Linked DNA regions of Neodiprion lecontei. The protein of the gene in region 1 purifies or fractionates together with the protein of each later gene. This does not show direct contact. Links are inferred from orthologs where the notes say so. Each region holds a gene or a part of one and is shown on either strand. Other genes may lie near its edges. The genes, in order: E3 ubiquitin-protein ligase RNF123 and ubiquitin-associated domain-containing protein 1.

Evidence for each region.
Region 2: the proteins of E3 ubiquitin-protein ligase RNF123 (region 1) and ubiquitin-associated domain-containing protein 1 purify together in Homo sapiens (affinity purification with mass spectrometry; 7 studies listed by BioGRID and IntAct, counting the BioPlex papers as one, with this or other methods). This does not show direct contact. The link is inferred for Neodiprion lecontei from reciprocal best matches to the Homo sapiens genes RNF123 and UBAC1.

Annotation. Positions count from the first base shown.
Region 1 is NC_060260.1:40,200,830-40,209,980, reverse strand, and holds the start of E3 ubiquitin-protein ligase RNF123, read left to right. Parts: upstream 1-2,577; 5' UTR 2,578-3,129; intron 3,130-3,634; exon of another isoform or gene 3,635-3,684; 5' UTR 3,685-3,711; coding exon 3,712-3,827; intron 3,828-3,910; coding exon 3,911-4,245; intron 4,246-4,643; coding exon 4,644-5,627; intron 5,628-6,094; coding exon 6,095-6,231; intron 6,232-6,290; coding exon 6,291-6,427; intron 6,428-6,485; coding exon 6,486-7,627; intron 7,628-7,715; coding exon 7,716-8,044; intron 8,045-8,140; coding exon 8,141-8,306; intron 8,307-8,392; coding exon 8,393-8,536; intron 8,537-8,683; coding exon 8,684-9,012; 3' UTR 9,013-9,151. UniProt on the Homo sapiens protein: Catalytic subunit of the KPC complex that acts as E3 ubiquitin-protein ligase. Promotes the ubiquitination and proteasome-mediated degradation of CDKN1B which is the cyclin-dependent kinase inhibitor at the G0-G1 transition of the cell cycle.
Region 2 is NC_060261.1:28,609,340-28,616,601, forward strand, and holds ubiquitin-associated domain-containing protein 1, read left to right. Parts: upstream 1-2,098; coding exon 2,099-2,283; intron 2,284-3,046; coding exon 3,047-3,240; intron 3,241-3,634; coding exon 3,635-3,795; intron 3,796-3,971; coding exon 3,972-4,183; intron 4,184-4,233; exon of another isoform or gene 4,234-4,255; coding exon 4,256-4,437; exon of another isoform or gene 4,438-4,625; coding exon 4,626-4,816; exon of another isoform or gene 4,817-5,102; coding exon 5,103-5,241; exon of another isoform or gene 5,242-5,332; coding exon 5,333-5,475; 3' UTR 5,476-5,597; downstream 5,598-7,262. Other genes in the region: uncharacterized protein LOC107225833, read right to left, coding at 6,257-6,543, 6,670-7,262.

The DNA.
Region 1 (9,151 bases):
TTGTAATGAAGGGCAATAGTTTATACTATTCAAGTAGATGCTGCGGTACTTGTAATCAAGAGAAAAACTCACGTGGCATAAATGTTTCAATTATAATTATTCCCAGACGAAATTCTTCAAGGTGACTATCTATACGAACTATTTTTCTAAAGAACCAGTGCATCAAATTGTGATATATTCAGATAAAAAACACTATTATAATTTGTCATGTGAAGTTCCAAATTATTGTGCCCGTCAATACCAAGTTGGCCAATTAGTATAGGATCATGAAAAATTTTCAAGTAAATCGTCTTCAAGTCGAGAAGAGAAAAATAATACCTACGTCAGATGTGTAAATTACAAAATTGACTCGAGTTTTTTATTCTAGTTATGCACAACTACGGGAGAATTTTTGACACCTCCTAAAATGTGCTATGAAATCTATGGATATTATTATATCATATTCTCAGTTGAGACGCGTTTGATGTTCCTTAATTTCTTGGATAGAGGAGTAGATAATTACCCTCGCGTTCGTATTTTAACAATAAGTAAAAAGTTTTATCAATGTCGTGATAAGATCTCAATCGATACAGGGACACAAAAAACGGATCAAGAGTCTTCACGGCTCCATTTGGTGGTAAATCATACAGAGTCTCGTTAAACTACCACATGACGGTCACAAATTACTTAATCTTTCTTACCTTGGATGAAAAAAAAAGAATTGAAACAATTTTACTCAAATTTTTGCGCACTGCTGCAATTACCGTAATAAAATTTTCCGCTTTAATTGTACAATTTTATTAAAAATTGAAATTGTATGTATATTTTGTATGTTTTATAAATGAGAGATTGAAATTCAAATTCAGTACTCAATATTTCTATTCCGTACGGAAAATGCCACGTGTGACTGTGATGCGGCGTTTTACTGAAATTCTGTGTAATAAGTCAGCCTCTAGGCTAAAAACAATAAGGATAAAGAGATTAAGCGTATCACGCACAAATATTATACTTACAATTAGTATAATAGTCCCTAGGAATAATACATGCTAGATAGAAGTAGATAAGTATTTGTATACGTAATTGCTGCAATGTTCGATGCGGAGTAATACGTTCGATATGTGGAAATGTAGCATTGAAAAATTCGACGATTATAATGCCGGTTATAGTCTAGGGGGAAATTACAGTGAAATGTCAGAGCACTCATTCAATTCGTCCCTGTGATAACGTAATACATAGACAGTCACGTCATCGAAATATAATATATACAATAATTCGCTGATCTAGAGTTTCAAAATTGCAATAACATTTTTCTGCCTACGAAAATGTATACTCATAAATTTTACTAAAAATTCTTCAGACATTTATCATGCTTCTCGAGTACTAAGAATGCCACACAATATACTCCGTATACCGTACACTATAAACTATTAGTTAATTGTATAACAATAGTGGGCGTCGCGATATTGGCGTACTGTCATTAAACGAATCATTATTATTATATTGTCTTACAACAGCTACATTATACTATAATCATACCGCCCTCTGATAAACAACGTAATAACATTAATAATCCTTAATAACACAAATCACAGTACCTATACTCGTATCGTATACAGCGTAATCGCCTACACTTGTAAGTATATTCACGAAAAGTGTATTAGTTAATTCATTGACTAATTAATTACTCAATAATTATTGATTATTCAGTCAAGCAATTGAATAAGGTTCAACTAATTACTAGTTGTGTCTAAATTAACAATAGCTACATTAATAATTAATGATAATTATAACTTGCATACGAAAATACGTTACATGTATTATTATTAATACTATTACAGTTTTTAAATTGAATAATTATTATTAATTGTATAAATATTGTCGTGGGTGCAAGAACTGATGACCAATCCTGGTTGAAAACATACCAAAGTCAGACCCGCTCATTCTCACTCATTCACAGCCCTTATACCCTTCCTACTTTTCATCCCTTCGTCAAGATCATTACCAAAACCAATAAAGACTCGATGTGTTATAGGCTGGTTTATCGGTTCTGCGAAAAGTCTTTATAATATTCATATTTTAATAATTCATAAATTTTGATTAATAATTATCGTCTCTGTATAGTCATTTTTCTACACACCTTGAATTGTTTTAATTGTGATTAAAACTACATACGCATATAATATAAACCGCATTGATTTTAAGTAAATTAATTTTATCATCATGATCCAGTTACTATAATTATTATACATCGTGTTGATGATTTTAAGAAAGTGAGAAAACCTAATCTATATTTATATATGTTATTATGCACCATATTCGTACATACTTGTATCCCTACGATTATCATAAGCCTCGTCAACTATAGTTATAATAATAACAACAATACTATGGATAGTGGTAATAACAAAGCCAGAAATAATTATAATAAACAAACGTACGCAGACTATATGGATTACTCAACCAGAGAAGTAGTGAGTTGTATTTTGATTTTCACACTTGCCAGCTGTATACGAAAAGCATTAGTAGATTTTAAAAATTGTCGAAAGACATTTTTTTTTTTTTTTCTCAAAGAATTATCATTTCATTCGTGTCCAACTAAACAACGAAATTTCTTTACCGTAATTGATAAATCGTATCGTATTTTCGTATCTAGAATATCATGCGGGTGAGAGCAGAAAAAATTCAAAAGTGAAACAGTGCGTTTTACCAAGAGGTCTAAGGTACGCATGCGTCTTGGAATATATCCATACAGCTGCAAATAATTTCGGGCGCGTCGGCGCCAGAACGATTTGCGCATGAGCGTTTCGACGTTTGGTGATTACGACCGAGATATTTTTCTTTTTTTATATTCGGTTTTTCGTGTGCTGTCACCTTGAGCTAAAATGGTGGCAAAATCATCCACGCGCGAGCTGCCCAAATCGCGGTAAATTATTCCGCCGGAAAAGCATCACGGACAAACACCGGCGTTGAAACACCTCCGATTACGCCTACATGAGCTTTTCTAATCCGAAAGTAATTAACGTAAAAAAAGGATGCCAATTAACGAGTAGCCGTTGACACGAGGAACCTAATACACATCGACAAATTGATAAGGTTTTTGGAAGATAATTCAAAAACTGAATGAAGAGAACTCCAACGATCCTCAATTAGGCAAGTGTTTTTATCTTGTGATTTTTATTTATAATCATTAAGGTTTTAGGACCCTACAATCTTATGCTTACGCAATCTACAGTGCTTTACGAATATATGTACACAGTGCTTCGAGCAATAGTATAGTATAATATTTATACGTCCATCGGTGTTAGGGATTATAGAATAAAAAATAAATAATATTGTGTAGGTAACGTATTTCTCGTTATTTCAATGTTGCGTAAACAAGTAAATGAGATGCAGCTTATCTCAAAAGCATACGTGGGAACTCTTTCCGATTGGTTTAGCGCATATCTATAATGTGACAAATTTAAAAAAGAGTAACAGACTTGATCCCCCGCACAATCATCTTGAAGTAAATGTTGCGTTTTTAAAACTGGCAAAATTTCGGTGAAATCTGGTAACTACAGCGTAGTTTTTTCGTACTCTAGTGTTTTGCTTATAAGAAATTTTCCTCTAACAATAAGGAATCGTGAGTCTCTAATAACTGTACAATAATCAACAGCATCTCACGATCAGCTTTACCTAAATGATCAAAGGAGCGATTTAATTCAGATCGGCACGATCGAACGGAGTGACGAAATGAACATGGCAGAGATACTTCGAAACGTATTTGGACCAGGTGTGCTAGCCGAGGAAAGCGCGGCAAAGGATACCAAAGATCGCGGAAAGCTTCCGGAGAAATCGGGATATGCGAGGTACTTATGCGCGATGAATAAATGTCGCTATGCACTTTTTACAAAGATATTCTGTGCTAATGATATTTTCCCACACAACTTAGGGTGGTTCGGTATCTTGGAACGGCGAATGATTTCATGAAAATGGTGCTGTCGGGTGAAAATGAGTCGGCCTCATCGTCAATGGTAGAGGAAGACGCGAGACCCGGTCGAATAGGGCCGAGAATTGTGCGTTTCGACGTCTCCACGCACCACGGTCTCTTCATCGTATCTCCGGATAGATTGAGCGTCAATTCTCAGAGTAACTTTAGCACGATGAGGGCAAACGTCGGTCTCTTCGCCGGCAAGTGGATGTACGAACTCCAGCTAGGCTCGAAGGGAGTCATGCAGGTGGGCTGGGGAACGGCTCAGTGCAAGTTTAGCCAAGAGTCAGGCGTCGGTGCGTTCCCGGGGATTCTTCTGCGGGCTTGTTCATTAACGCTATAACGGCAAAGTCGACGCGAAAATAGCGATCTTCTCGTGAGGAACATCCAAAATAACCGATTGTTGGCAACCTTGGCAAACGCAAGAATAACGCTACTTTTACGCCACCTTTGTCGCTAGCTATAGTGCCAAACTTTGTGAAATAGTCCACGGTCCTCGATATCCCTAATTGTTACTCGCGAGCATCCGTCAGATTCTCTCGGTCGCTCTTGTCGAGGCGGTTTTACTCCTCAATACTGACAGAATGGTAATCATACGGCGACGACGGCGACGAGAGAGTCTAGCGAGCCAGCGAAAGACAGTGGCGTCTATTTTTCAATTTGTAATTGAACCCGATTTCCGTACGATTTTTAGGCGACACCATAAACTCGTATGCCTACGATGGGAATCGGGTTCGAAGATGGAACGTAACGACCCACAAGTATGGGGAGCCCTGGCTCTCCGGCGATATAATCGGCTGCGCTCTGGACCTTGACCAGGGAGACGTGGAATTCTACAGAAACGGGAGGTCTATGGGAAAAGCGTTCGGGGGGATCTGCACGGGTGCTGGAATGGCCTACTTTCCCACAGTCAGCCTGGCGTTCACCGAAAATCTGACGGCTAACTTTGGCTCGACACCTCTGCGTTACCCGGTTCAAGGATATGAAACTCCTCAGGCATCCCCAGCCGATCAAGTCAGTAAAGCAATTCTTGTGTTCGAGTGGCTCAGGAAGGTGATACTTCTGATCGATAACGGACGTGAGTCCATGGTCGAAGATGACGATGATGAAGAGGGTAAAGTGCCCTTCTCCGAGACCATGAGCTGCAACGCTTTTCTTGCCTCTCTGGCAAGAGCTATCCTCAAAAATCTAGGACCACTTTTGGCGATACCTTACGTGACAGAGGCCGTCTTTGTTCGCTTTCTAAGGGAGCTGTCTGGCGCTGGCGAAAGTCCGGCAAAAGGTGCCGATTCGAGTCGCGTCCGAATCTGCCTCGATCTTCTTTGGACGTTCCTGGAGGACGAAGAGATGAAGTCCTGCCTTGAGAGCACCGTGGTCTATCTTCTCTCTTCATTTCGGCACGTATCCCTTCAACTCGAGTATCCTGACCAGTGCAGGAGCCTGATTCTTCTAACGAATCTCTGCCAGCACACTGCGACGAGGCAACATCTTTTGCAGCACATCCTTTTCGACAGGGTTCGCTTTGCTAACTTCGTCCATGTTAAGCCTCTGGATGAGAGTGGACTCGCAGAGGTCGTCGGTAGTACTTGGTGGGAAACTGACCCCGTTGATGGGGCCGTAGAAGTCAATAGGAAGCAGTATCTTCACGCCTGTGACCGCATCAAGAGCGCTATTTCCGGTATGTTCAGAACGGTTGAAAAGTGTGTTTGATGCTGCTGGTCTTTCACTTTTTGGGAAGTTTGATGAACCGACCGTAGTAGCGTAGCACGTAGCGTTCGAGACTTGCTGAACGGGAGGACTTTAGTTCAAATCCTCAGCGTATCGATGAGGACCTGAGCGACTACTCGCAAGATTGTTAGACGGGTGATGTCGGTCAGGTATCAAATCGACAAGCTGAGGTTTGCATATAGTCCCACTACACATGGGCAACGTTTTCTGCAGTTGCCCTTGTCCCTTGTGCGAATGCGGGTGTTTCTATTGAACATCTTAAGACGGCTACGGACGCATAGTGATTGACCATTTCCGCGATGAGCGTACTCATGCACTTGAGGGCTAGAAAAAAAATGTTACATGGTTTCACTTGATACCCCCGTATTATACCGATAGCATGAAGACTGATTAGTTGTCATCCTTTAATTCTTGAAGAGGTCGAGGCACTTCAGGTTGAGCTGCTTGTCACGCTATTGGACAACAACGACGGAACTCCATACTCGCCTACGTCGCGAACAATCTTCCTCAAGAAGTTTCGCCGCTTCGTCCAAGAGAACTTGATCTCAAGTCGCGTAAGTCGGAGCTTTTAGCGAGTCGCCGCAATGCGGCTTGTATAAACCCAAGCATTCAGTCCGAATTCCTACAGACGATGCCGGTGCTCCAGACCCCGCTGCCCATTACTCTTTGCTGTTTCCACCGGCTGCTGGTTGCCTTCAGGGTGCTGTGGGACGCAGAAATCGCTTCGCATCCAGTATACGTGCCATGCAGGTAAAAACTCCCCATATATTGAATCGCATTAATACTCTAAGACTGTTCTTTATCGCAGAGCCTTCTACGACGCGTCTATAAATTTCGCGGGGATAGACAGACTCGGTGGGGTCCTTTCACACCTGAACAAAACCTACAAGAACGAGCTTCTGCATCTTCTCGGTCCTGAACACGAGGTGCTAGTTGCAATGGAGCAGGCACAAGATCCGTCGAATCCTTTTTCCGGTGGACCAGCACGTTTAGGTGAACTTCCTCTTGCAATCCCTGCCTTTGCGAGAATGGTGACAGTCAATTCGTCGGGCCCGGCGAGTCCCATGATCTTGGAAAGGCTTGGCTACTTCCCTTACAGCCGGGAGGACAGGACACCGTTGCGGCTGGGGCCGGCCAACCCAGCAATGTCCCTCCTAGAGCTTCTCGATGGGATAATACTATTTTATCACGTCGCGGCGAAGAGACAGATTGCTAAGGTCGCCAGCCTTCGTGAAAGCATGGCCGAGTACATCACTGCAATGGCCGAAGTTAAGGCTCGTCTAGAGATTACCAAGAAGCAGCCGAAGGACCCCGATGCTGCTGCGATGAACCGCGAACTCGCAAGGACAATGGTAGTCTTCGACACTAAGCTCGCCGAGCAGGCGAGGCACATGGCGTGGGTCAGGGCGGCCGTTTACTCCAAGGAAAAACAAGCGCAGCTTGCATGGCTGCTGAGAGTGGTCACCTTGACTCTAACGTCCGCGAGTGAGGAGGGCAACATGTTCAGCTTCGTGCCTGACTTCTACCTCGAGGCCATGACCGACCTCAGTGTTGGGATCAGGAACCATGTACATCCAACCGCCCCAATTGAAGACATTCCTGAGTATCAAGAGATGCTAGTCGAGGTTGCACGGTTCCTGTGTGATCACTTCCTCGATCCACGGATTATTCACGCGAATGCAAAGGACACTCTCATCCTCACCTTAGCAGGATACGTTTCAAACTCTCTGACTCTTGGACCCCTCGAAAGAGTCCCGATCGAGTCGAGGGTCAAAGTCGTAAACAGTCTTTTACGGCCCTATGAGAACAGAGCTTGGGCTCAGTCCAACTGGGTATTAGTCAGATTCTGGCAGGGCTGCGGATTCGCTTTCCGATACGAGAAGAGTCCACATCTCGCGAAAAAGATCGGACCCAAGATGCTTCAGCAAGAGTCAATATCGCAGCCTATAAGTAAGTTTATAGCGATAGTACGTATTATTGAATGGCTGATAAAGAACTGGTCAGAAAGTTTCGTCACATTTCGGTTTCTTTTCCACAGAGCCATGTCCTTCTCTGATATACCAGGCTCACGTAAGGGACGCTCTTTTGTCAAATCCAACAACAACGACGCAGTTTTTGAACTCGCTTCTGAACCAGCTTAACTGGGCTTTCTCAGAGTTCATTGGGATGCTGCAAGAGATCCAAAACGTGTCTTCAAGACCAGAACGCGTCCTAATCGAGTCACGCCAACTTAAAATATGCGCAACCTGCTTCGATCTGGCCATTTCTTTGCTGAGGGTGCTGGAGATGATTGCTACTCTGGCACCCGGCGTTTTTACTGACGATTCTCAAGCCTCCAGTGAAAATCTACTTGCCAGGCTGTGCCAGGTAATACACCGTCAATAAATTATATTTCATCTCCTATTCCTTGATCCCCTACAGGCATGAATTCAATCGTTAATTTTATGGTTTGGACACTCGCAGCTGCTCTGCCAAATACTGAATCGTGTCAGCTCGCAGTCCGGTTGCTTTCAGCACGTTGTGCTACTCGATATTCCAGACTTGGAAACCGTTGACCACTTCCCAATTCTTACCGCAGTTGTTGGAATTCTGCTGATTTTGCTCAAGGAGGACGTATCAACATTCAAAAGTAATTGCTAAAATATAAAGTACGAACTGAGGCTAATCAACTATCGAAAACCATCAGTAGACACACTCTGCATATTGTACTTACAGCCGGACGCAGAGAAATTCCAAAAGTAACTAGAGCCCTACTTACTGAGCCCAGCTTCCAAATTGGCTCGCTTTACTTTATCCTCGGAGACTTGAAACCGAAGAATCAGAAGATCAAGAATATAAAGCCATTTTGCCTTCAAAACTGTGAGTAACTTTAAGTAATACGCCTATATTCGATGCTCGGTATTTTTCATCAATCCGTTGTTTCAAACATACCTTAAGACTTAGTAACTTCAAATTGGTGAAAGAATTTGAAAAATTCACTGATCACATTTCATTGACATTTTTTAGATAAAGAGGACGTCACCGAACAGGAGATAAACAGTGTAAGGGAGATGCTCAGATACTTGGACTTGAATAGAACAATGTTAACTGAGACCAAAGTATTGACCGACGACGAGAATATTTGTACAATTTGTTACGCGTATACGATCTCTGCGACATTCAAACCATGCAATCACCGTTCATGCCGAGCCTGCATCGCTCACCATTTATTGAACAGTAGAGAATGTTTTTTTTGCAAAGCTACCATAAACCAAGTTACAGATCTTGAAGGGGAATTGTTACATGACTTCACTAGTGACTACTTGCTGGAAAAGATCACCACTGACAGATCCTGAATTTTGCGGTGTTATGATAAAAAATAAGGTGACATGTTTATAAATTGTATGCAAAGAACAAACTTATCCAAGCATACAATTTCTCATATAGTTTTTTACATTTCATGACTGGCTTGACGTGGGTGTCGTTGCAAATATT
Region 2 (7,262 bases), on another chromosome or scaffold:
TCGTGGTCGGATGCCTAGTGTAACTGATTTTTCTGCTCGTGCGCTCGCTTACTCGTTGTCAGTGTTTTAACACATAACACAGTTGTAGGGGAGACTGGGATACGATGACTCCCCAAAAAATTCTGGTATTGGCTTCACAGTATACAGAATGAACACCGTCTTCGCGCATGTGACGTAAACCGAATCTGCTCGTAAGATTTTTTCTATATAATACTACAAATCACGTTTACAGATGCATGTAAGTACAACGTATTGTGATTTTATGATAATAAATTTCCACAAAAAATACCACAGAACAACCAGCTAAGTGCTAACAGATCTGATACACTAACCACAGCAATTTTAGCTCTAATTGAACGACGTTATTTTCATCTATTCCTATGTACCTATATAATGCCAAACACTCACCAATTGCAATTTGTTGGTCCTGGTCGCTCGGTTTTTTCCGATTCAAAGTGTTATCTGAAACATGCATTTTGGTTTGATGGTACAAAACATGACGTTTTCAATAATCAAACTTGTAAACTTGAAAATTAGTCCGGAAGGTCAAAAGTCACCAGGTCAAGAACCTGGACAGTCAGAACTACGTAGCGCTTGTCCTGGAAGTCGAGTTTCAACAGGTACTGGACCTGGAGCGCAGAAACTACGGAGCACTTGTCCTGAAAGTCGAGTTTCACCAGGTAGCGGACCTGGAGCATGGAAACTACCGCGCGCTTCTCCTGGAACTCGAGTAGCACCAGGCAGCGGACCTGGAGCACAGAAACTACCGAGCGCTACTCCTGGAACTCGAGTTGCGCCACGAAACGGACCCGGAGCGCAGAATCCAGGAGGTAAAGAACCCGGTACTCGAAATCTGCGGAGCGCGATTCTCGTACGTCCTCTCTACCGCGCGGTTGTTTCCAGACTGAGGAATTCGGCTAGCTGATCACTATAGATTGAAGACGTCAAGAGAAAAAAAATTTTGACTTTCTGAACATCCGAACATCCAAACTTTGGTTTCGAACTTCAATACTATGTATGATGTATGATGTATGACGTATGATGATAAGATATGATGTATAATGATTTTAGTTCTTACATTTCGGACAAGAAATACGCACTTTATCTTCCTTGCCGATTCCAGACTCAATCGGCTAGGCCCATCGATGGTCAGCTGTTGACTAAAGATATATTCTTTAGTCAACGGGTCAGCTAATAACGCTGCCGTTCTGCGACAGTTGTATGATAAAAACTTTTGCTCGTACCTTTCAAATGTGTTTTAAAATACACTCGAAGTATTAAGAAGCTTCGTTCTATCTCTCTCTATCAAAGAAAAAAAAATCGCCGACAATCACCTTTTTAGGTCTTTAAAGCAGGACACTGCGTTAAATACTGTCTCATATACGGAGCATCCATGTCATCTCGATCAAAATTAGCGCATCCGTGATGTATTACAGTTACTCTGAATTTTTTTCCCATACGAACACTTTTCGAAAAACGAGTCTGCTTCTCTACCAAACGTAGATACTTCAATTGCGACTAGCTAAAACAGCGTTTCGATTCTATGCCTACGAAAATTCAAGATCGAGAGAGCAAATGAAAAGTTGTTGGAATAATTATGAATATTAATGGCGGTTTTTGGCGCGATTTTACAAGGCCACAAGGACCCAAGCTGGATTATGACAATCTGAGTTGGCAACACTGTTTAAACTGCGTGCAAATGGCCGCCGTTGCGGGCAAACGTCAAAATAATACGAACGGAAATATTCAAGGTAAAATAACGACTACCAGAATTTTAAGGTCAAGGTATTTTTATTGCCATCGGAAGTAAAAAATTTAGCGTAATCGTGTTGCACTCGCGCTGTATCCGGAATATGTCAACTTCGCGTACTTGAGCACTCTAATCTGGCTTAACCTAAATCTTTCATATTGAGAAATGAATAGTCAGTTATGGATTAACGATTAACTCTGACTTGACGACGATGTAAAATAACACTCATAAATCACCTAATACTAGAACTACCCTGTGATCAAAGACACGTGTATTCGAACGCTGCTTTAAACTCCCGAAAAATTGGACAACATACGTATTAGTTTTTTTATTGTCCAGGGCTACTTGATGTTTCCATGGATGCGTGGACAAATACTGGAAGCCTGGAGTAGCAGACGGAGCTCTCGAGAAGCCGGGAGGCGCTCCTCGGCTCTCTCTTCTGCGGACCCAGGAAATCCCTCTAGAAATTCAGGTGTTACAATGTTTGTGTCACCACAGTCAATCCCTGAGAGTTTCTCAGTTAACATTATCAGGTTTGCATTTCATTACCTATAAAAAAAACCATTCGACCATGCACTCTCGTACTATGAAGTTATGAAAAAGTGTACTCTACTTCCTTTCGGTTTAAAAACAATATTCTGAAAATCAGTGAAAAGCCACCATGTGCGTACAAGTTGCCACTATTTCTATTATCGCTTTATATTACATTTGAAAGAGAATAATATTTAACAAATACTACATGAGAAAATAGATAGAATGTAATAAAAACAAATGTGAATTTAAATTTTCTTAACCCTCTGCCGTACTTTGACGAATCTGACTCGTGATACATATTTCGTATCAAACATGAAGATCACGAGTCAGACACGTAGACTGAAGATTAGGCTCATATTGCAGCTGTTTTCAGCATCACTCTAGCCTATTTAGCGCGCATCGTCTCATATTGCTTGGGCTCAGATCTTGCCGAACTAAATGGTACGGCGAGGGGTTAATATCCATTTTCTCAATTGCCCTGGCGATTTTGAATAGGATTTTCACAGTTATATAGAATTAAGTATCAGAAAATATTGTATATAATAATATCATTACTCAGGTTAAAGATATTAAACATTTAACTAGTTACTACATTATTGTGTAGAGAAGTTTTGGTGGTTGTATTATAAAGTTCACCAATTTTAAATGTCGAGCAGAATAACCGCTATGTTTAATGTACCCAAATTTGAGAGATTACTTAGGTACATTCGTCATGTTCAAGAATGAAGGAACAGATCGTAATCACCACAATAATATTTTCAGTTTGGAGGGCCATGTGTTTGGCATCAACATCAAGCCAGACTTTACTATAGAAAAAATTAAAGCAGTCGCAACTAAACACTTTTATGGACAAGACACATCAAAGCCTTCATCATGCTTTAGATTAGTTCATGCAACAAAACTAAAATCGTTATCTGATGAAAAAAAAGCAGAGGAAGAGGGCATTGAAAAGTTTGGTGAGTATCGCAAAATTTGGAAGTAAATTGAATAGGATATTGCTAAAGACGTAAAAAAAACGTGTGCAACAGAAGTGATACTTCTGCAATTTATATAAGTGATTCACCATGGCTTCAACAACTCGGTAACAGAGAGAGGAGACTGAGGATAGGTAATCCTGTGTGTAGTTTGCGTTTCATAACAGTGCTTTATATAGTGGTACGTGTCAAAACATTACGTTTCATAGCAGCACATTTCATTGCAGTGCGTTTCAAAACATCGCGTTTTACAACATTCTGTTATTATCCCTGCTAAAGAAGTTTCACTTCAATAGCAAAATCGAATTTTGGAAAATGATTGAGGCTGGTTCAATGTCAGTTTCCTTCGATGATTTCTGGTGATTTTTTGTTTCAGATGAGTTGCTGATGGTTGAGATCCATCCAGTTATAATAAAAGAAAATCTAACAGAAGAGATTCTAAAAGGACCCAGTGAGGAGGTGATAGCTCGAATCACGGCAGGACTTCCAATTAAAAACCCATCACGACCTGCGCCCAGTGCCGATTGCCCAGCTGATGTAAATATTTCATAATGATAAAATATGAGTTTTGTAGTATTGTTTTATTCTTAGAAAACTATGTTTTATTAGAAAGATTTTGAAAAGTTTATCGAGGTAAGAAAGTGTGCTAATAATTATTAGGCTAATGATAAGTATTGAGTAAAATACAATGATTAAACGCACAACATGGACAGTTTCAGAATGAAATAAGAAAGATTCTCATCACACTGGTCCAAACTTCTGCAAAGATTTTAAATCATAGTCCTGAAGCAGCTAAAATTTATGAAGTAATTAGGGAAAGATGGGAGACCAGATGCAAACCGCCAAATGATCCCAAGTCTGTTAAATATCTCATGGATATGGGCTTCTCGGAGAAGAAAGTATTGAAAGCTCTACGGCTCAGGAAGTAAGTAACATTAGCATCATTGCATGAATGTGCAAATTTCTTTTCCTTACTTGTTTATTCATCATTGGTAAGGATGAATACTTCTGAAGCACTTGAGTGGCTCATAGAGCATGGAGATGATCCAGATGAAGAAGATTTTGAGCTACCATCGTTAGACGCGAGCCTAGATGTGGATACAGGAGGACCTAGTTCCTCAGGAACTTCGGGCAGAAGGAGAAGTCTCAAGGAAGCATGTGTCGATTTATTCAAAGGAGGTAATGTTGCAGTTTAGCTAACTTGCTCAACTTACGACTGCTTTATGGCATGTACTCTTACCGCATAGGCAAGTTGAATTTAATACGTTCCTCTTTACCGAAAATTCGCTCTGATTAAGTCTCGAGGCGATAATTTATTCAGAATATGAATATTGTCCTCAACTCAATGCTGGGTAATTATTGAACAGGTAGTCAGAGTTCCAAGAGAGAGCCAAACTTGATTAACGTCGTCGCTCTGCTGTTAGAGTCTTTTCGTCAGTTCAAAAAACTCGATTTCAAACCAAACACGAGGGTGATATCCTCACTTCAAGAGATGGGGTTTGAGGAGAAGAAAATCATAGAAGCACTGAAAGTCACTGGAAATAATCAACCAAATGCAGTACGTTGCTAGATTTTCTATTCTACTATATTACTGAGTATTTTAAGATTTTCATCAATTCTTGTTTAACCTAAAACATTCGAGAAAAATTAGTAACAAATATTATTGACACTCAACTTCAATTTCATAACGATTAAAACATAGAAAATGATCATTGGCATAATTGTGATTTTTTTTTTTTGTGTGTCAACACCAAAATGAGTTTTAAATTCACATTAAATGTCAAAGCAAAAGCAGATTTTTTACCATCGATGTCAAATTCTTCAAGAGTTGTTTATATTTTCAGTGCGAATGGCTCTTAGGTGAGAGACGCCCTAGCTTAGAAGATTTGGACGAAGGCCTGGACCCTGACGGGCCAATTTATAAAGCAATTATGTCAAACCCTCACATACAACTCAGTCTCACCAGTCCAAAAATGTTACTAGGTGAGTCAAAAAACAAACGACGTTTTCTATGAGATTATATTCGAGAGTTACTGAATGCCAAATACTTGAGAATAAAATTTACACCTTTCAGCATACTTATCGATGCTAGAGAGTCCAATGTCAGCGAATATCTGGATAAATGACCCAGAAGCTTCACCAGTGTTGAGCCAAATTTTCAAAACCTACCATGCGGAAAAACATGCTATTCACATGAATCGTTTTGTTGAGAGCTAACAGTAGCAGAGTATAGAAACTGTTTCAGAATCACAGAAAAAAAATGAAAAAAAAAAAAGAATTATAATGCCTAGTACAAATTTAAAAAATTTTAAATATAATTCATGATACGTTGAAGATAAGTTACTGTTATTAACTGCCTGGCATGTTAAAGTTCATTCTAGTCAATATTAAAACAAAATATAAATTATCGTTAAAGTATTTATGCTATTCGTTCGTTACTTACTCAGTAGCAAATAGTGATATGTAATAGTAAAAAAGGTACTATCATTGTGAGGAAAGTATATAAAGTGCTTGATATTTATTCCTAACGATATTTAACGAATTTTACATGTAATAATTGCTACTATTACGCATATGAAATGGTATACAAACTATTATGTATACTCGCGTACACCAACAAATATATTTTTATATTAAAATGGGCCTTCAAGATCTAGTTTATATACCTATTTCAATTCAAAATGGCATGCATAATTTTAAACTATTTTTTTCGAGCGAAGTTCAATGTCGAAAGAAAACTTTGTTAAACGCTGAAGCAAATAAACTCTGTCTGAAATCATTAGCATTTACTCAGTTCCCGGAAGTGCATATGCATACCTACTTGTGCCCTATCTTTCAGCTACGACGAATCATTTTACGGAAAATTTGTTATTGGCAATTCTACATACTTCATTGCGAGTCGGTGTACATTCGATTAAACTAGGTGCAAGGAACATGTTGCGAAATATAAATTTGTTAAAAACGTCCATAATACACACCGGAAGTGGACGTTTTGAATTCAACAGTTTTTCTTCACAATTTGAATTGCCATATCGACCATGTTATCAATGTTTCCGAGATTTTTTTTCCACTTTGGTCTCTTCTTTTTTCCCAAAACGCTGTTCCAATTTATTTTACTTCTCATCATTAAACTTTTACTATTGATAATTCCTGGTACAATATCAACATCTTTGGAACCTGTGTCACTTATTATATTGACCACCGAACTTGTATCCACTGTGTCCATCGAATCCAACTGCCACGGTAGTATTCCAATTGGACAACTTCCCCAATCAACACTTTTTTCTACGAAAAATAAATTTGTTTTACAGTTAACTGAACGAAATATGCCATTTTTCCTATAGTTAGATATTCTTCTGGTGGTTGGGTTTAAACTGAAATACTAATTCGTAGTTGATAAAATAACTGTACCTTTTTCAAGTATCCAGTTTGAATTTCTGGTTGTTAGATCTGCTATTTTAATATTATCTTCGAAATTGAACTGTTCCAATCGCTCATCACTTCTGATATTTTCATTGATATGATCTTCAAACAATGCAGTAAAATCATTGATGGTTTTGACATTTTCGTTACCAACTAATTCAGTCTGGTCTTCAATATTTTGCCCTGCTGTATAAATACTGATAAAATGAATAAGATTTTCCCTGACGTCATCCCTTATGCTGGGTGTTATCAGTTCCAAAAGTGGTTCAACGAAATGATTAGAAAATTTGCTATTCAGATTAGAAATGATTGTTCTAACAAAATCTATATCAGTCAAGAAACTGGGAATTTCACCTAAGACATTTAGCCATAAAATATCTCTAAGTTCGGGAAAGTTTCTATCAACTTCGTCTCGAACTTTGAGAGACAATATGGTTGACGAAGTTCTCCTCCTTTTGTTTTCTCCGACATGTTCCAACCTATGTTTGATTTTGTGAGCTAATTTTATTTTGCACAGACTAGACGCTATATATTTCATCCACAAAGATGCAATAAGATGCTTTTGCTCATTCTCTGTCTCA